Linked DNA regions of Stegostoma tigrinum. The protein of the gene in region 2 purifies or fractionates together with the protein of the main gene of each other region. This does not show direct contact. Links are inferred from orthologs where the notes say so. Each region holds a gene or a part of one and is shown on either strand. Other genes may lie near its edges. The genes, in order: eif4enif1 and protein LSM14 homolog A-like.

Region 1 (10,070 bases), on a different chromosome or scaffold from region 2:
GCACTGCTGCTTTCCCAGCGCCAGGGACCTAGATTTGATTCCACCCTCGGGTGACTGTCTGCATGGAGTTGGCACATTCTCTCTGTGTCAGTGTGGATTTCCACCTGGTGCTCCAGTTTCCTCCCATAGTCCAAAGATGTGCAAGCCAGGTGGATTGGCCATGCTAAATTACCCATAATGTTCGGGTATGCGTCAGTCAGGTGCGTTAGTCATGGAAAATGCAGGGTTACAGGGATAGGATAGCGGGATGCTCTTTGGAAGGTTAGTGGACTTGTTGGGCCAAATGGCCTGTTTCTACACTGTAGGGATTCTAAGAATATCCTTTCGAACTTTAGGACAGCACAGTGGCTCATTGGTTAGTACTGATACCTCACAGCGCCAGAGATCTGAGTTTGATGCCACCTTCAGGCAACTGTCTGTGTGGAGTTTGCATATTCTGCACTGTGTCTCCTTTGGGTGTTCTGGTTTCCTCCCACAGTCCAAAAGTGTGCAGGTTAGGTGGATTAGCGATGGGTAATGCAGGGTTACAGTGTCTGGGTGGGATGCTATTCAGACTGTCGGTGTGGATTTAATGGGCCTAATAGCCTGTTTCCACACTGTAGGGATTGCACAATAGCTCAACCAGCTTGGTCAGTGGTGATATTACTGAGACACTTTTGTAGATGGACTTTGAGGTTCCCCCACCCTGAGTGCATTCTGCATCCATGCCACCCTGAGAGATTCCTCCAAGTAATGTTCAACAAGGAGGAAACCTGAATAATCAGCCAAGTGGGGGTGCTAAGTGGTTATCAGCAGGAGGTTCCCTTGCCTATGTTTGACCTGACAGTATGAAACTTCATGGGGCCCAGACTCAATATCGACTCCCAGGATAACTATCTCCTGCACAGTGTACCACTGTACTGACACCTCTAGTGGGTTCATCTTGCTGCTGGGAGGTGACATATCCAGGGATGATGATGTCTGGAGCATTGTCTACAAGGAATGATTCTATGAGTATGACTGTGTAGGCTGCTGCTTGACTAGTTTCTGGGACTGCAGTCTGAAATTTTGACACAAGGTTCCAGATGTTAGGGTGTCACGGTGGCTCAGTGGTGAGCACTGCTACCTCACAGGGCCCAAGGTTCAATTCAGGCCTTGGACAACTGTCTGTTTGGAGTTTGCACTTTCTCCCTGCGTCTGGATGAGTTTCCTCTGAGTGGTCTGGTTCTTTCCACAGTCCAAAGGTGTGCAGGTTAGGTGGATGGCCATGGGAAATGCGGTGTTACAGAGATGTTTGGATGATCGGTTTGGACTTGATGGGCTGAATAACCTGCTTCCACGCTGCAGGAATTCTATGTTAGCGAAGAGAACATTACAAGCTCAACATGGCTGTGATGGAGTTGTTTCTGGTACCTGGGTCATTGCTAGGTGGTCCATCCAGTTTGGGTGGCTTTTTAGGTAATTTCAGAGGGCAATTAAGAATCAACAGTGCTACAATTAATGAAAGAAAGGTTGAAAGGCAAAGAGTTTTAGCAAATAATTTCAGACCTTAGGGCCTAGGCAAATGAAAGTATGAATACCAATGGTGGAGTGTTTAAAATTAAGGATCTCCAAAATTAGAGGAGGTTGGATCTCAAAACATCATGGAGCTGGAAGAAACATAAGATATAGGGAAGGATTAGGCCATGGAGCGATTTGAAAACAAAAATGATCATTTTGAAATTGCAGCATTGCTTACCTGGAAGCCAATGCATGTCAGTAAGTACAACAATCATAGAGTCATTTACAATGCAAAAGGGATTCTCTGAATCCATGCTGACTTCCTGTGGACCAATTCAATGTTAATTCTGTTCCCTCTCTTGATCCCTGTCGCTGTGCAAGTTGTTTTATCCTTCAAGTGTCTATTCACTTTCCTGCTGGTGTTTCTGTTTGTGGGCAATGAGTTCCAGATCATTACTGCTTGCTGAGTTAAAGTGTTCCTCTTCACATCTCTGACATATCTTTTGACCAAAACCTTCAATCTGTCTTCCCTTTCATCCTTGTATTATCAAAAATAGTCACAGTTTTCTGTTGCTTCCCTTATCCAAACTTGTCATAATCTTGCACATTATTATCAAATCTCCCCATAATCTCTGCTCAAAGGAGACCCCAGTTTTTCCAATCCAAGTTTGTAACTAAAATCTCTCATCCCTGGAACCATTCTGGTAAATCTCCTCTGCACCATGGGTCCTCATGCTCCTCCTAAAATGTGTTGGCCAAGTCAATGGGATTTGGTGCAAATTGGCGTAATGTTTGATTTGTAGGAAATGGAAGAATAGAATAGAATAGTGAAGACCTAATTAACAAAAACTTGAATGAGGATTTCAATATCAGGTGCACTGGTGCAGGTCAGAATTGGGTGACAGTCTCAGGAGTGAGGATGAGATCATATCAGGATCAGATATGACACAAAGCTTGTGAACAGTTTAATTCAGCCTCAGACAGTGACCAGGTAGAGCAGGGAATTGGTGACTCAAAAATGAAGTTTGTAATGGCTTCATTGTTCTGTATATTTAGTTCAGAGAAATTTCTGCTCATCAGGCCCCAGATATTGACAAGGAGCCTGACAATTTTGAGGCACTGTAAGAGTTGAGAGAGGTGTGGTGAGGCAGAGTTGGGTGTTATCAGCCCATACATGGAATCCGTTGGTGTATTTTTAAATGGTGCCACCAAAGTGTACAGATGAGAAATAAGAGCTGGTAGGGCTAGGCCTTGAGAGACACCACAAACAATCTATCTGGAGGGGTTTATGAATCGGAAGGATTTGGAGGGGAATGGCTTAAATGCTGGCAAATGAGACTAGGTCATTTTGGAATGTCTGGTTGATGCAAACGAGTTAGACCAAAGAGCCTGTTTCCGTGTTGTATGACTCTGTGACAATGTGGCCGGATTGAGAAGAGAAATCAATGATGGTAATTGTCTGACTGCAACTGGAGAGACAAGAGAAACTAGGTGAGTCCAGCCCTACCGAGCTGGCCAGTAGTGTTGGTGAGTTTGGCATGGTGAACCATGTCAAAGTCCATATAGATTCAAAACCAGAGAAGGAATAGTTTATCCTGGTCACAGTCACATGTTGTTATTTGTGACTTTGACCGCCACTGATTTGGCCACCACATTTTAGGAGGAGCATGAGGACCCATGATGAGGTGCAGAGTAGATTTAACAGAATGGTTCCAGGGATGAGAGATTTAAGTTTCAAACCTGGGTTTGGAAAAGCTGGTGTTCTCCTTTGAGCTGTATCAATACTGCGATTGGAGCATACATAGATGTGCTAACTCTTCTGAAGTGATTGTGAGAGATGTGGTTTCTCATTCATATTCAACTTTACCCACAATCTCACAGGAGAACTGAAATCTCAGGATTTTTAACAGTACTCTTACATATATGCACTTAATCTGAGACTGTTCATGCACCTCTTAAGGCCCATGTGCTTTGCTTGAGGAGGAAACTGGAAATGGGAGCTTGCGAAACATGTGCTTTGGGTCTTAAGCGATGACCTAATTGCTGATATGTACGCGTGAGTTGCAAGATGACATATGGTACAGTCCTGATGTTTGTTCTTAAACTGGCGAGAAATAATTTATTAAATTATGAGTAAAATGCTGCAGATGATGAAAATGTGATACAAAAACAGAGAATGCTAGAGAAACTCAACAGGTTTTGCAGCATCTTTGGAGAGTTAATGTTTCAAGTATGTCATGACTCTTCTTCAGAATTGTTATAGTGAGACAAGCCTGATATTTGGGCATATCTGTTTTCTCAAGGAGTCCTAAATAAGGCATTAGGCTCCCCAATAGTATACATAGGAGAAATATTCATCTTAGGCAGCTCTGTGAATATCTGAAAAGTCAGCTGACTCAATTTTCAAAAATTTGGCAGGAAATGTTGCTGTCTACTTTTTTAACCTTTGGGACCATGTGCTAGTTCAAGTCTGCCACTGCTTCCAAGCACTAAATAGAATAGTGATACATTTTTTAATAAGAAGCTCTGAAATGTTGAGCTTAAATAAGCCATGAACAACTTGTTTAGCTCTGTACCACACCTCTTCACTTGTAAGAGTTTGTTTTTTGATTTATGCAATGATGACTGTTCCAATAAATAGAAAAATCTTATTGGAGTTATTCAAACAGTGAAATCTGGAAAAGATAGACATGTGTCTTACGGGCAGAGAGGTTGGAATCACATTTGTCCCATATAACTAATGAGGATCTAATCTTCTTTTCTTTGGCAGTTCCTCAGGGTCCAGGACAACTTCCTTCCATTTGAGGCGGGGAAGGGGGATTTCTTTGGTGGTTGCATAATTCACTCCTGGAGCCACAGACTCTGCCATAGGAGGGGAAGGTGACATTTGATGAGGCAGGAGGGTGGGTTGTTCTGATTTTGTGAACTCCTTCCCCTCCTTGTGCTTAACCTCCATGTGCTCCACTTGGTGATACTGGAAGTGGTGTCATTTTTGTGGATGCTTCTTCCTAAGTTTGTGCATTCTATGGCAAGCAATTCTCATGCATTGTTGGGAATATTACATTTGTTTGGGTAGGTGGTTTCAGAGTATCCTTGTAGCATTTCATTTACCCTCCTGGTGATCACTTACCACTGCGGAGCTCAGACTCCTGTTTAGGGAGTCCTGAGTTGGGCCCACCCACAGCAGCTAGTCATCCATGACTCTGGCCTGGGAGAGGATGCTTGTGTTGGTATACGTATTCTGCCAATGGATTTCCAGGATTTTGTAAAGGCAGCAGTGGTGATAACTCTCCAATGAATTGAGATATCTACTGTACATGCTGTATATTTCTGCTGCATACAGGAGGGTGGGAGCCTGGCTTCAATGTATAGCATGAGCTTGGCAATGGATTTGCTGGACTTTCTGTTCCTCAAGTTGCAATGGTTTATTGGAGTCAATGTTTGATTTCATTGTCAATGTCTGTTTGCACCAAGAGGAAGCTTCCAAGGTATGGGAAATGATCCACATTGTCCAGAGGCTTGCTGTGCATTTTTATGTATGCCAGACTAGGGACTCTTTGGGAAAGCTGATTTGCTGACATGTTGTGATCTCCACTCCACTTTCCTCTATGTGGTCCAGAGTTGTTGACTCCATTTACAAAAATCTATTCAGTACTACCTTGACTAAAATCAGTGACACAGTAATTTGTGGGGAAAGAAATTCCACAGGGAGGGGGGTCAGTGGTTGAGGAGAAAGAAGCATTAACAATATCGTCTGATATTGGCCATGACATGTGAGATGAATTAAATTTAATCATCCAGGATGATGTGATTGCTCTGAACGCTCCATTTGGCTGCCCTACTCAATAGACAGCCTCTGACAGCACTCAGCCGCCCACTTCCGGTATCACTGTCAATCAGACGAAAAAGTGAATGGGATTAACCCAATGACGTTGTGGTCTTGCCCCGCCTCCTCCGCTCTGATTGGTTCTATTGTCTGAAATATAGTCGTCAATCCTAGTTGCTTGTGGGCCCTTTCCCTTTTGAGGACGAAGAGGGGGTCTTAACAAAATTATTAAAAGTGTAATCGAAAGCGCTTTTTTTTTTAAAAAAAGGAAAGTGCGGGTCTTGTGGCTTTTTTTTGTGTGTTTGTTTTTTTCTGTTTTGGTTGTGGGGACAGGCAGGCGGTTGGTCTGTACATCCGGGTGCGCGAAGCGGCTGTTGCCGGGCTTCGGGACACAGGCCGGTTCCGTCGGCTCCGGCTCAGGCTAGAGCGGGAGAGGCGGCAAGCGAGGGGCCGAGTGTCCGTAACCCCCTCCCCTTTCCTCCATACTCACTTCCCCCTCCCGGGGAAGAAGCCTACCCTTTGCCTCCTGTCTTCGGGAGTCAGTCTTTAGGGTGGCGCCGGGGTCTGACCAAACCCCCAACCCACCCAAAAAAACCCCTCCAGTGCCCGGAGCGGGCGGGCGGGCCGTTCTCCCTCCTCGCGCACTCTCTCCGCTCGGCCCGGACCTGGTGACCGGCAGGGCAGCCGGACGTCTTTTTTTCATCCCCACTCCTTCTCACCCGGGCAAACTTCCTCAGTCCGAGGCCTGAACTGTCAGCCTCGGAATCTCTCTGTCAGGTGTGTGTCTGTATGGTTTATCATGCAAAACATCGACTAGCCTCGGTCTTTGTACCAGGTGAAGCAAACTGTGTGTTTTTTTTTGTCCCGTCCTGTTTATATCACGTTTTGTTTATGGGTTCCTGCGACGTCAAATGAAATAGCTGGCCATTTGTTCCTAGTGTGCCTTGGCTGTGGTGAAGTCGGGATAATTTTACCTTTTTCGCAAGCCGTCTTGTTTCAAAACTGAAAAATTTTCAAAGGGAGAACGGGTTGCAGTTGCGTTCTCCCAGTGGGTGAGGAGACAAACCTGCGCAATTGCTACTTGGATGTCTGTGCTGTACGATAGTGTAACACTACTAGCGCAACAGTAGTTGATGGAATGGAAATTAAATTTCTTTTGTAGCTTTTAACTGCGTTCCGAACTGACTTGGGTTCTTTTTTTAAAGTGCAGTAGCTTTAAATGTTCGAATTGACTGAGTTTGAAGCTTTGTTTTCGTTTGAAGGGACATGTTCACAAAGCCCTCCGTGGCAGCCATGGATAAAAAAGAATGGATTGAAGAAAATGGAGAGCCATTAGTTAATCTACCAAAAATCTGTGTTATGAAGAAACCGTATCGATATTCAAAGGTATGGATTACGTGGTGATAGCTAGGGTTAATATTTAAAATGCATTTCATGGAACTGATGTGGTTGACATCTTAAACTTGTTTTGGATCTTACAGCTTGCAAGTATTTATTTTTGTTTTAGTAATGGCTATACTTGTCAAGTTGATGGATCATGATTAATAGATAGAACAAATTCTGTTCAAGAATTTGTCTTGATGACTGTGTCCAGCTGTAGCAAAATTGGAAGATTCTGTTTAACTTGGTGCAGCTGAGTGGACACAAGTCAATAGCAATTGACCAAAGTTTTGAGGTATGACTAAAAACCATTTTGTGGTGTGATGTCATGTAACAGCAGTCGCTGTTTTAATGAACTGTGAAAGTATGGGTAGCGTGACCCACTCAACCTCTATTTTCCAAGTATCAAGCATCATCTGCCTTTAACTTTCTGCTTAACATCTGAGTACTGCTGGCTACACTTTGAGAAATACCAAGCTCCAACTGCCCCTTGAAGCTGGTGGTAAACTGCCTTTTTTTTTTTGTAGCTCAAGTGCTGTTAGGCAAGTTTATTTTAGGATTTGATCTAAAGTATTAAAACAGTACAACACAAAACTGTACGAGAGTCCCTTCAACCCATGATCATGTGTGAAACATGACACCAAATTAAACTAATCCCTTCTGTCTGCTGTTGGTCCATATGCCTTTTATTCCTTGCATATTCATGTCCTTGTCTGAAAGTCCTTTTTTAAATGCATCTATCTGCCTCCTCCTCCACCCTGGCAGTGTTCCAGACTTGTACTTTTTAAAAAAAATTTGCTCCTGCTGTCTCCACTGAACTCCCCACTCCTACCCTAAATGCATGCCCCCTAGTATTAGACATTTCAACTCTATCCATGCGTCACAATCTTATAGATTTGTATCAGGTCTCCCCTTTGTTTTCCTTTTTGAGTAGCAGAGACTGAGTTTTTCTAGCCACTCTAAAAACCTCTTGTCCAGGCAGCATCTTGGTAAACCACCTCTGCATTCTCTCCAAAGCCCCTGCATCTTTCCTGTAACGTGGTGACCAGAATTGACTGCAATACTGTGGCCTAATCAACATCTTAAAAGCTGTAACATGAAATTCTGATTCTCCTACACAATTCCCCACAATGAAGTCAAGCATGCTTATGCCACCTTTACCATCCTATCTACTTGGCTAATTGCAGGGAGCTATGGGCTTGAACCCACAAGATCCTCCTGTACATCAAAGGTGTTAAGAGTCATGCCACCAGCTATGTTTCCTTAACACTTGATCTCCCAAAGTGTAGCACCTTACTTACCCAGATTAAACGCCATCTGCCATTTCTCTGCCCATATCCTGTTGTCCTTTGACAAACTTCTACACCATCTCTAACGCCACCGATCTTTATATCAGCTGCAAACTTGCTAACCTATCCATCTACACTTTCATCCAATTCACTTATATAAATCTCAGACAGCGGAGGTCCCAGTGCAGATTCTCTGTGGAACACCACTAGTCATGGATCTCCAGCCTGGAAGATGCTACCAATACCCTCTTGCTTCTATAGGCCAGCCACTTCTGAATCCATGTGGCCAAGTCACCGTGGATCCCATGCAACTTAATCCTCTAGATGAGCCTACCATGAGGGATCTTTGTTGAAAGCCTTATTAAAATCCATGTAAACAACATCCACTGAATACCCTCAATCGCCTTTGTGGCCATCTCAAAAGCCAATCATCTTAGTAAGACATGACCTGCACAAAGCTAATGCTAACTGGCCCTAATGAGGCCATGCTTTTTCCAAATGTGCATAAATCCTGTCCCTAAGAGTTCTCTCTAATACTTTCCAACCACCGTGAGACTATTGGCCTTTAGTTCCCTGGATTATCTCTAGTTCCCTCCTTGAACAGAGGACCAACACAAGCCACTCACTTAGTACTTTGGGGCCTTTCCAGTGGCTGGTGAGGATACAAAGATCTTGGTCAAGGCCCTAGTAATCTCCTGTCATGCCTTTCTCAATAATCTGGGCTAGATACCATTAGGCCCTGGGAACTTAGCCACCTTGATGCCCTTCAAGAGATCAATGCCACTTCTGTCTTGATCTCAATGTGTTTTAGCATGCTGTCCACACATCTCACTATTCTCCATATTCTTCTGGGTGAATACTGATGCAATGTACTCATTTAGGGCCTTGCCCATATTATCTGCTTCCAAGCACACGTTCTCTCCTTTCACCTTGAGTGGCCCACCCTCTCCCTAGTATCCTATTCCTTTTTAAATGGATCTGTAGAATACCTTTGGGATTCTCTTTAACCCTACTGGCCAAGATCATTTCATGCTGTCTTGGTCTCCTACTTTCCTGCTTGGGTGCTTTTCTTGTATTCCCCATGGGCTCTAGCTGATTTTAGCTTTCCTTCTGTCTTTTCCTTTTTTCCTGACTAAATTCACAAACTCTCTCATTATGCAAGGGTCCCTTACGTTGCCATCCTTATCCTCCTTTTATTGGAACATACCAGACTCGAATTGTCCCCAGCAGGTCTTTAAATAAGTCCCACATGTCAAACCTGGACTTGCCTGATAACAGCACCTCCCAATGAACACACTCTAGCTCCTGCCTAACACTGACGTAATTTTCCCTCTCCCAATTTATGCCTTCCCTCAAGGTCCTGACTTATCCTTGTTCATAGCTATCTTGAAACTTAACGGATGACAAGGTGTGGAGCTGGAGGAACACAGGCCAGGCAGCATCAGAGGAGCAGGAAAGCCGACATTTTGTCAGGACCTTTCTTCCTTTTTTTTTTTTGAAGGGTCCAGGCCCAAAATGTCAGCTTTCCTGCTCCTCAGCTGCCTGGCTTGCTGCATTCCAACAGCTCCATACCTTGTTATCTTGGACTCCAATATTGGCAGTGAGTGAGTTAATGAGTGAGTTAAAACTTATGGGGTTGTGATCACTTAACAAGATGTGCTCCCACTGAAGGGTCTGTCACTTGGCCTGGCTTGCCTAACAAGCCTATGTCCAGTATGGCCCCTCCTGTAGCTGGATTATCCACACTGTTTCAGAAACCCTCTTGGATGCCACTTAACAAATTCCACCCTGTCTAAACTCTTGCTGTGAGGGATTCCTGGTCGATACCAGGGAAGTTAATCATTCACTGTGACAACTCTTCTTTTTTAATTGCACCTTACCATAATCTGCCTATGTTTTTTCCCCAATCTCTTGGCTGTTGAAAGGCCTGTAGTATAATCCAATCAGTGATTGTTCCCATTTTATTTTTGAGCTCTACCCATTTTGCCTCTGGATGTGCCCTCCAGGATGTCCTGTCTGGGTGGAAATGTAACATTGCTGACATTGAGTTTAGTTGTCACTGGGAGCCTTTATGAATCCTCATGAATAGTTTATCA
Region 2 (10,367 bases):
ATCCTGTTCCTATTTCTTATGGAAATTGAACTCCCTTGTAATGGGAATAGAGACTAATGGGAGTGTTAGAAATGGGAATCATCGAGATAGCAGTAAACATGACAAAGAATAAGAGGGAAGGAAAGCAAAGGGAATAATCCTGGGGAGTGATAGTGACACAAGGTAATAGTGACTCATCATAGGGACAGGGATTAATGTGACATAGAGGACTGAGGAATAATCAAAGGAGTAATATCATTTGAGCAAGCTTTTGGAGGACATTAGAAGAACAAGAAGTTTAAATTAGAGGCTGTAGGAACAGGCCAGGCAGCATCAGAGGAGCAGGAAGGCTGACATTTTGGGTCTGGACCCTTCCTCAGAAATTAGAGGCATTGCACAATGAGGTGCTGACTTGTTTTGAGGGACTGTTGAACTCTGACTTTGCAAGGAGCAAGGAGGGATGAACGATTTGTCCCCTCAAGCCTCCTTCACCATTTAGTAAAATCATGGCTGCTCTGATTGTAGCCTCCACTCCACATTCCTACCTACCTCCAAAAATTCTTGAGCCTAGTTAATCAACCTATGCCCTGAAGGAAAACATTCCCACTGTTACATTCCAAGCAGTAAACAAGAGCTTTTGTGAGGAAGCGTCTAGGCCCGAAATGTCAGCCTTCCTGCTCCTACAATGCTGCTTGACCTGCTGTGTTCATCCAGCTGTACACCTTGTTATCTCAGCCTTCCATTAGCCTTCTGAATCTCTTACAGTGCACATATATCTGCATACTAGCTTTGTGATTCATGTACCAGTGTGCTCAGATCCCCTTGTACCACTGAGGTCTCTCTCTATTTAAATAATATTCTGTTTTTCCGTTCTTCCTGCCAAAGTGAACAAAGTTCATATCTTCCAACAAGGTACCACCATCCACCAAATTTCTGCACACTCACATAATCTGACCACACTACTTCACTTCCTCTTTATGTCCTTTTCACAACTTATTTTCATACAAGCCATTGTAATCATCCTAATGAAGTCTAATGCTGAAAACATCAGGAGATTCCAACCTGCTGTTTGGCGAAATGGATAGTTCTCAATTTCATAATATTAGGGAAACGATAAGCTTCATCACGAGGCAGGCAACCAATTCTGTAGAGATAACATCTTCAGGAATAGACGTTTGAAGAATATTTAACTGTTTTCAAACCACAGCATTGCAAATCACAACACACAAATTGTCTCAGAGATAATAGGAACTGCAGATGCTGGGGAATCCGAAATAACAAGGTATAGAGCTGGATGAACACAGCAGGCCAAGCAGTATCTTAGGAGCACAAAAGCTGACATTTTGGGCCGAGACCCTTCATCAGAAACGGGGGATGGGGAGAGGGTTCTGAAATAAATAGGGAGAGAAGGGGAGGCGGACTGAAGATAGATAGAGGAGAAGATAGTTGGAGGGGAGAGTATAGGTGGGGAGATATGGAGGGAATAGATCAGTCTGGGGAGGACAGACAGGTCAAGGGGGCGGGATGAGGTTAGTAAGTAGGAAGTGGAGGTGTGGCTTGAGGTGGGAGGAGGGGATTGGTGAGAGGAAGAACAGGTTAGGGAGGCGGGGATGAGCTGGGCTGGTTTTGGGAATCAGTGGGGGGAGAGGAGATTTTGAAGCTTGTGAAATCCACATTGATACCATTGGGCTGCAGGGCAAAACCAGCCCAGCTCATCCCTGATAATGGGAATTGCAGATGCTGGAGAATCCAAGATAACAAAGTGTGAAATTGGATGAACACAGCAGGCCAAACAGCATCTCAGGAGCACAAAAGCTGACGTTTTGGGCCTAGACCCTTCATCAGAGAGGGTCTAGGCCCGAAACGTCAGCTTTTGTGCTCCTGAGATGCTGTTTGGCCTGCTGTGTTCATCCAGCTTCACACTTTGTTATCCCAGCTCATCCCTGCCTCCCTAACCTGTTCTTCCTCTCACCCATACCTTCCTCCCACCTCACGCCGCACCTCCATTTCCTCCCTACTAACCTCATCCCACCCCCTTGACCTGTCCGTCTTCCCCGGGCTGACCTATCCCCTTCCTACCTCCCCACCTACACTCACCTTCACTGGCTCCATCCCTACCCCTTTAACTCGTCTGTTTCCTCTCCACCTATCTTCTCCTCTATCTGTCCTTGATCCACCTCCCCCTCTGTCCCTATTTATTTCAGAACCTTCTCCCCATCTCCCTTTTCTGATGAAGGGCCTAGGCCCAAAACCTCAGCTTTTGTGCTCCTAAGATGCTGCTTGGCCTGCAGTGTTCATCCAGCCCCACACTTTGTTAACACAAATTGTTTCATTTGTGTAAGCTGTTGTAATGATTATGTTGACACTCATTTACATTCTTCTCCCTTCACAATGAAAAATCACAATCAAAACAATTCCCCTCATTCATCTTCTAGTTAGTAATGACATTTAGTTCAGAGACACATAAGTTGTGAAGCTGTGAGATTGTTTTCATCATTGTAATAGTGGTGAATTCACTAGCTTGCATTGCCTTGAGTATAGAAGATTAACGGGTGATCAACTGGGCTGTTCAGAATTTTAAATGCATTTGATAGGATGGGCAACACTTCCTCTGATGGAGGAGTCCAAAAGAATGATGTATATCAATATAGCACTGACTCTTTGAAACAAAATCTAGACCCTTCATCAGAAATGAGGGAAGGGAAAGGAGTTCTGAAATAAATAGGGAGAGAGATGGAGGTCAATAGAAGATGGATAGAGGAGAAGGTAGGTGGAGAGGAGACGGATAAGTCAAAGAGGCGGGGATGGAACCAGTAAAGGTGAGTGTAGGTGGGGAGGTAGGGAGGGAATAGGTCAGTCCAGGGTAGACAGACAGGTGAGGTTAGTAGGTAGGAAATGAGGGTGCGACCTGAGGTGGGAGGAGGGGATAGTTGGAAAAACAGGTTAGGGAGGCAGGGACGAGCTGGGCTGGTTTTGGGATGCGGTAGTGGGAGGGGACATTTTGAAGCTTGTGAAATCGGGTCTAGTCTGGAAACGTCAGCTTTCCTGCTCCTAAGATGCTGGTTGGCCTGCTGTGTTCATCCAGCTCTACACTTTGTTATCTTTTAAAAACAAGGTTGTACTTCTCTTAATGTTGTCAAGGAACATGGAGTATGACAGGTAGACTTTCTCCTTCATCACTTGCTATAGGCTTTGTGTAGCAACAGCATCGGTTCTGGTTTGGCCATCTCAATCAGTAAGGGGGCTGCCAAGTTATTCCTGAAATCCATCTTTATTGATCTCAATACCAGAGGAAAAGTTGGACCAGCTGGGCTCAGACCTGCTGTAGTATGCAAGAGTAAGAGGTGACTTGAATGAATCATTTTTGATCCTGAGGAAGCTTGACAGGATGAATGTTCCAGAATGTTTTATCTTGTGGGAGAGTTTAGAACTAGGGGATCACCACTTAAAAACTATTAAACAACATTTTTCTTCAGAGTGAGCTCTAAGTTTTGGAATTCACTTCCTCAAAAGGCCATGGAAGCAAAATCTTTGTGTATGTGTAAGGTAGAAGTGGATAGCTTCCAGGAAGCAAGAGAGGTGAAAGGTAATTCTGGGCTACAATCACATCATCCACCATACATTTAAATAGCACAGCAGGCTCCAGGTATTAAATGGCCGACTGTATTTTTATATTCACATCTCCATCAGGAGTACTTTATGTCATAGAGTCACAGAGGTCTACAATACAGAAAAATATACTTCAGCTCATTGTGTCTGCATAAGTCAAAAACAACCACCTAACAATTCTAATCCCATTTTCCAGCACTTGGCCCATAGGTTTGGATACCTTGGCATCACAAATGCTCATCTAAATGCTTCTTCAGTGTTATGAGGATTTCTGCCTCTACCATCCTTGCAGGCAGTGAGCTGAAAATGTTTTTTCCTCACATCTCCCCTAAACCTGCTGTCCCCGGTCATTGATCTCTCCAACAAAGGGAGAAATTGCTTCCCGTCTACCCTATCTATACCCACATAATTTGACACATGTCAACTATGGGATTTCAAGACAAGAGGGCATATTTTAAAGGTGAGAGGAAAGAGATTTTAAAAAAGACGTAAGAGGCAATTTTTTTACACAGAGGGTGGTTCACGCGGGGAATGAGCTTCCTGAAGAAGTGGTGGACATGGGCACAGTTACAACGTTTAAAAAACACTTAGCTAAGTACTTGAACAGGAAAGGTTTGGAGAGATATGGGCCAGGAGCAGACAAGTGGGACTAGTTTAGTATGAGATTATGTTCAGCATCGATTCATTGGATCAAAGGGTCTGTTTCTGTGCTGTATCGCTCTATGTCTATGACTGTCAATCTCTTCTCCATCTCCTTTGCTCCAGTCTGTCCAATTTGTCTTCAAAGTTGAAACTCTCAAGCCCAGATAACATCCTGGTAAATCTCCTCTGCACCCACTCTAGTGCTATCATTCCCTCCCAAAATGTGGAATCCAGAACAGCAGTATTCTAGCTGTGGCCTAACCAACATGTTTCACAGTTCCAGCATAAGCTCCCTTCTCTATGCTTCAACTAATAAACATGAATATACCAGATACCTTCTTCACCATAAAGACATACAGCATAGAAACAGACCCTTTGGCCTACTGTACTCAATGTTCCCTTGGCCTACTATGTCTATGCTACCAACAAACACTAATTTTGTGGTCCTGAGTAATTCCATTTACCTGGACTTAGCCCATGGCCTATCATGCCCAACACTTAAGTACTCATCCAGATGATTCTTAAATGTTGTGAGAGTATTTGTCTCCATCACCCTCTCAGGCAGCACATTCCATATTTCTACCATTCTCTGGGCATAAAAATTCTTCCTCAGATCTCCTCTCAACTACTTGCTCCTCACATTAAACTTATGCCCTCTGGTCTTAGACACATCTGTCATGTGGAAGAGATTCTTTGATCTGTTCTGTCTATGTTTCTCATAATCTTTTATACCTCAGTCCCAGCCCACCCACCCCCCCCAACTTCCTCTGCTCCAAGGAAGACAAACCCAGCCTATTCAGTCTCTCCTCATAACTGAGACTTTTCATCCTAGGCAACATCCTGGTGAATCTCCTCTGCACCTTCTCCATTGGCACATTGTAAAATTCTTTCCATTCTTCTGATTTTTTCCCCTTTGTTTTAATCTTATACAATTCTGAACCTCCTTTGTTAGCTGTAGTTGACTGATCATTTTTGAGGTTTGGCACATTGAAGGAATATACAGTTGCTGCAAGACATGTAATCATTCCTTAAAGACTATCCATTGTCTATGGACAGTCATGTCTTTTAATGTATTTTCCCATTCCTCCACCATCAATTTGTGCCTAACTTTATTTTCCTGTTAAAATTGAATACCCTTGCTTCAAATGAAACTTCCCCACTTTTAAACATAAAGCAAAATTCAATCTTATTGTTGTCACTCAATCCTAAATAAATATTTTCGAACAACATTGAACTAGTTATGACTTTAAGTTACAATAGATCAGGCCTAAACTAACTTTTTTTGTATGTGTAGGCATATTGTTGTCTGGCCTGGTGTAGCATGATCTTCCTTGCTATTTATGCTCAGTGATGCCCAGATCCATTATATCATCGTAACATTGCTCCAGGGTCTTTAAACCCCTAAATCACAAACGATTTCAAAATGTAGCTTGCAAATCCAGAGGTTGTTATTATTTTGTTATTATTTAGATAGAAATGCAAATATTATGTGTGTACTTCAAAATTTTTGGTAAATGCCAGCTAGGTTTAGAAATAAAACTAAATCGTGGAGCAGTTCCCAGCTCTCACTTCAGATTTCTTCAATGATTTGAGAAGTTAACTTTTCCAGCAATGTTTTTGAGTTAGTTTTGGAGAGTTACGAGGTGCAAGCTTCCGAGAGAGAGATGCTTGTTCGCATCTTTTAAGATTTCGTCCTGCAGAGAGTGAGACTGGTGTTGTGCAAAGAGAGGGAAAGAAACAGAAGGAAAGTACTGGCTGAGTGGGGGAAGGGCCTGGCCACTGGAATATGAAGGCAGCCATGTTGGCTGCTGCCTGAGCGAACGTCACGGACCGGGGGGGTAGGGAGGTGGATAGAGAGAAAGAATAGGCCGGAGCGGGACGGTAGAGGCAATCCGCATTCATCCGCTGCCTCAGCTCCCGCAAATAGTGGTAGGCACTGCACAGCTACCATCATGAGTGGGGGTACTCCTTACATCGGCAGTAAAATCAGCCTGATCTCCAAGGCAGAGATCCGATATGAGGGGATTTTGTACACCATCGACACCGAGAACTCCACCGTCGCTTTAGCCAAAGGTAAATGGCGTAGAGGCGCCGGGCCTAAGAATACGACCCCATCCCTTGTGAATAACTCTTGTCTATAATAATCCCTCACATTTCGACATTCTTATCGCTAAAGAAACACAATTTGTTATTTAAACGTCGGGCAGTTTATCCCTTGTTTTAAAAAAAACTAAAATGGCGGGATTTGTCAACAAGAGCTTCTGTTCTCTTAAGTGTGTTTAATTGTATTTCAATCTGAGCTTTAATTTGGATGTTTTCTTACTTTCTTTGGGGAGGGGGTGGGGAATGTGAATTTTATCAATATATTCTAATTGGATGTGGTAAAGAAAGTGGGGAGTGGTCGGTGGTTATAAAGACAACCTGCTACCCACATCATAAACAAAAATAACTAAGACATTTCGTTTTAATATTTCTTTGTATGACTCACTGCTTTTAAATTGAATGGCTGCTAAATCAATCCGATTTGTTCGTCAAATCAGATAACACTGTTGCTCCTTGCAGTTCGTTATCCAGAGGAGTCTCCGCTTTTGTGGTTTTCATCCTCAATTTAGTGTTTATAATGTTTATATTGCAGTGTCTTCCAAGCAAATTGTTATATAGAAAATTCGCTGATAACTTTTAAAATGTTAGCTGCAGTAACTTTCATTTGTCTAGTGATAATGAAGCAATATTCTGATTGCTATTTAGATTATCTCTGGACTACTTCGAAGTTCCAAATCTTTAACGTACGTAAGAATTTCATGGTTGAGGTTATTTTTGTCTAGTTATTGGCAAGTAACGTGTTATCCAATTACCCCTTTTGTTGGAAGTAAACCCCAAAATAATAATTAGATTTTAATGAATTTGTGAAGATGTTGAATTGACTTGAGAAGGTAATTTTCTGAGCAAGTGTTTTAGCTTGAGGTATGATAATAGTGCACTCCAAAAAGCACTGATTTGTCTGGTTACTTGGGTTAAATGGGCATCTGTCTTTCTGTTGAAAAGATTTAGTTGGATAGTTTTCCAATAGACTGGAAAATCTAAAACACTTCAATTTGGAACAACCTAACGTGATTTTTGTGTTTGTGTTGTTTACAATGATTTTGTATAATGTGTATTCTTCAATAAGGCTTTACTTTGACTACCTATCGTTGGGTCTTTTAAGAGTTGGAAATTGGTGACTCCTGAGGAATTTATCGATGTGTTGTGGTGCCCACTACAAATAATTAGTCTAGAATAATTTTGTAAGTTTATAAATGTAGGAAAGAAGAGATTCTGTTTGTGGCAACCTCTGTTCAAACAATTTAACAAGTTTCTTTTTCTTTTGTTCATTCCTTGTAGCCCTGCAGATTTTGCCTCTCTAGATGTCCATCTAATTTCTTTTTAAAGCTATTAAGGAATCTGCTCTTTTCCATCTTTTCTGGCATTGCATTCCAAATCAAACCCACTTGCTGAATACAAAAAAAACTTGGCACTTTTTGGCCTTTTGTAATCTCCTTAAATTTGTTTCCCCCCAGTTCTTAACCACCTTGAACATGGGAACAATTTCTTTCTGCACTGAGTTTGTGTTGTGACGTGGACCAATTCAATCACATCTCCTCTGAATCGTTACTTTTCAAAAAGAAGAACTGCCCCAGTTTCACCCATCTAAGCTTGTGACTGGTCCCTGGAGTGAGAAGCTTTGGAGATCTGCCTCATTCGTTCCTAAATCAGGTGCTCAGAAAGAAAACATTTAATCTAGCTCCTCTGGTAAATTGTGTATGATCAGTTGAACAAAATGACCTTGCTTCGGTACACTGTACGATTCTGTTTTCTGGTGTCTGTAAGCAAAACCCAAAATTGTCCAGGATTAGAGTTGATACATGGGAATTCTTTCTGCTGACTGAAATGACTGGAGGCCAGAAGTCCCGAAAGGATGTGGGAAAAGGCAGAAGATAAAATAAATGACTAGCAGAAAAGACCACCAGCCGGAAGGAGGAAAAAGTTACATCTGTGAATCCCACGCTAACATTATTCCTCTGTGCTGGCTGCAGAAGGCATTGCTGCTTGGAAGTTGACCTCTTGCGACAACAGGTGATGTTCACACCAATGACATAAGACCTGAGTACAGTCTGCTGTGTTTCAAAATGCATGGGTGCCATTAATGTCTTTTCCATGTGTTTTCTAACTCTTTCTCAATGATATAAATGGATTTATAGTACAGAAATAATCTATTCTGGCCAGTTTTTGAATGCCACAGAAGTTTAGAAAGTTTGAGGATAGTACCATGAAAGGTACCACAGAACCTCTACAGTGAAAGCTGGACATTTGGCCCATCAAGTTCATGTGACCCTCTGAAGAGGGTCCCACTCAAACTCAAACCCAAACCCAACCCCCGACTCTGTTCCTGTAACCATACACTTCCCATGGCAAATCCACCTAGCCTGCTCATCCCTGAACACTACGGACAATTTAGCATGGCCGTTCCACCTAACCGCCTCAGCTTTGGACTCGGGGTGGGGTGGGTAGGAAACTGGAACGTGTCTGGAGGAAATCCATGTGGACGTGGAGAGAATGTGCAAACTCCACACAGACAGTAGCCCGAGGGATGGAATTGAACCTGGGTCACTGTTGCTGTGAGGCCACAGTGCTAACTGCTGCAGCACCCATTTTCTTCCACTTTACGTCATCCTGCCCCAATGTCATATCTTTAAATTATTTCCTCCCTTGCACTTGCCCATTTTCCCAGAAGTGTGTATTAAAGAAGCCTGTACCTGTCTTGGAGGTGAAGGGCAGAGATTCACGAAAGTTTTTTTTAAATTCATTTGTGGGATCTGTGCATTACTGACTGGCCAGCATTTGTTGCCCTTGAGGGTGGTGGTGAGTTACCTTCTTGAACTACCATAGTCCACTGTTGTGGGTTGACCCACAATGACACGAGGGTGGGAATTCCAGGATTTAGACCCAGCAACAGTGAGGGAACAACGATATATTTCCAAGAGGATAGTCAGTGGCTTGAAGGTGAACTTAGGTGTGGTGCTGTTTCTGTATACCTGCTGTCTTTGTCCTTCGATGGTAATGGTTGTGGGTTTGGAAGGTGCTATCGGAGGATCTTTGGTGAATTTCTGCAGTGCATCTTGTAGATAGTACACGCTGGTGGAGGGAATGGATGTTTGTGGTTATGTTTGTGGTTATGTTTGTGCCAATCAAGCAGGGACTGTTTTGACATGGATGGTGTCAAGCTTCCTGAGTGGTGTTGGAGCTACACTCATCCAGGCAAGTGGGGAGTATTCCATCATACTCCTGACTTGTGCCTTGTTGATTGGACAGGCTTTGAGGAGTCAGGAGGTGATTTACTTGCCACAGCATTCCTAGCCTCTTACCTGCTCTTGTAGCCACTGTGTTATGTGGTGAGACTAGTTGAGTTTTTGGTCAATGATATCCCCCACTATCTACACTCTGTGGGTTTCAGTGATGGTAACACAGCTGAATGCTGAGGTATGGTGTTTAGATTGCCTCTTGGTGATAATCATAGCCTGGCATTTGGTGCAAATGTTACTTCTCAGCCCAAGCCTGGACATTGTTGAAATCTTGTTGCATCTTGAACTTGGACTGCTTCAATATCTGACGAGTCACGAATGGTGCCAAACATTATGCCTGGTGAATCAAGGCTGTAATGAGTTCAGGAGCTGAGTGGCCCTGGTGGAACAGGTGCTGCTTGATAGCACTGATGACACCTTCCAGTACTTTACTGATTGCAAGTAGACTGGAGTGAGAATTGGCTAGTTTGGATTTGTCCTGTTTTTTCTGCACAAAACACACTTTGGCAATTTACACATTGTCAGGTAGATGCCAGTGTTGTCACTGTACTGGAACAGCTTGGTTAGAGGAGCAGCAAGTTCTGGAGCACAAGTCTTCAGTACTATTGTAGGAATGTTGTCAGTGCTTGTATCCTTTTGTAGTGCCCAGTGTCTCCATCGTTTCTTGATATCTCTTGGAATGAATGGAATTGGCTGAAGACTGGTATCTGTAATGCCAGGGATGACTAGAGGAGACTGAGATGGATCATCCACTCGGCACTTCTGGCTGAAGCTTGATGTCGATGCTTCAGCCTTACC

The links.
Region 1: the proteins of protein LSM14 homolog A-like (region 2) and eif4enif1 purify together in Homo sapiens (affinity purification with mass spectrometry; 3 studies listed by BioGRID and IntAct, with this or other methods). This does not show direct contact. The link is inferred for Stegostoma tigrinum from reciprocal best matches to the Homo sapiens genes LSM14A and EIF4ENIF1.

Annotation. Positions count from the first base shown.
Region 1 is NC_081379.1:46,710,869-46,720,938, forward strand, and holds the start of eif4enif1 (eukaryotic translation initiation factor 4E transporter), read left to right. Parts: upstream 1-5,644; 5' UTR 5,645-6,082; intron 6,083-6,567; 5' UTR 6,568-6,571; coding exon 6,572-6,691; intron 6,692-10,070. UniProt on the Homo sapiens protein: EIF4E-binding protein that regulates translation and stability of mRNAs in processing bodies (P-bodies). Plays a key role in P-bodies to coordinate the storage of translationally inactive mRNAs in the cytoplasm and prevent their degradation.
Region 2 is NC_081369.1:64,934,192-64,944,558, reverse strand, and holds the start of protein LSM14 homolog A-like, read left to right. Parts: upstream 1-6,047; 5' UTR 6,048-6,182; coding exon 6,183-6,303; intron 6,304-10,367. UniProt on the Homo sapiens protein: Essential for formation of P-bodies, cytoplasmic structures that provide storage sites for translationally inactive mRNAs and protect them from degradation. Acts as a repressor of mRNA translation. May play a role in mitotic spindle assembly.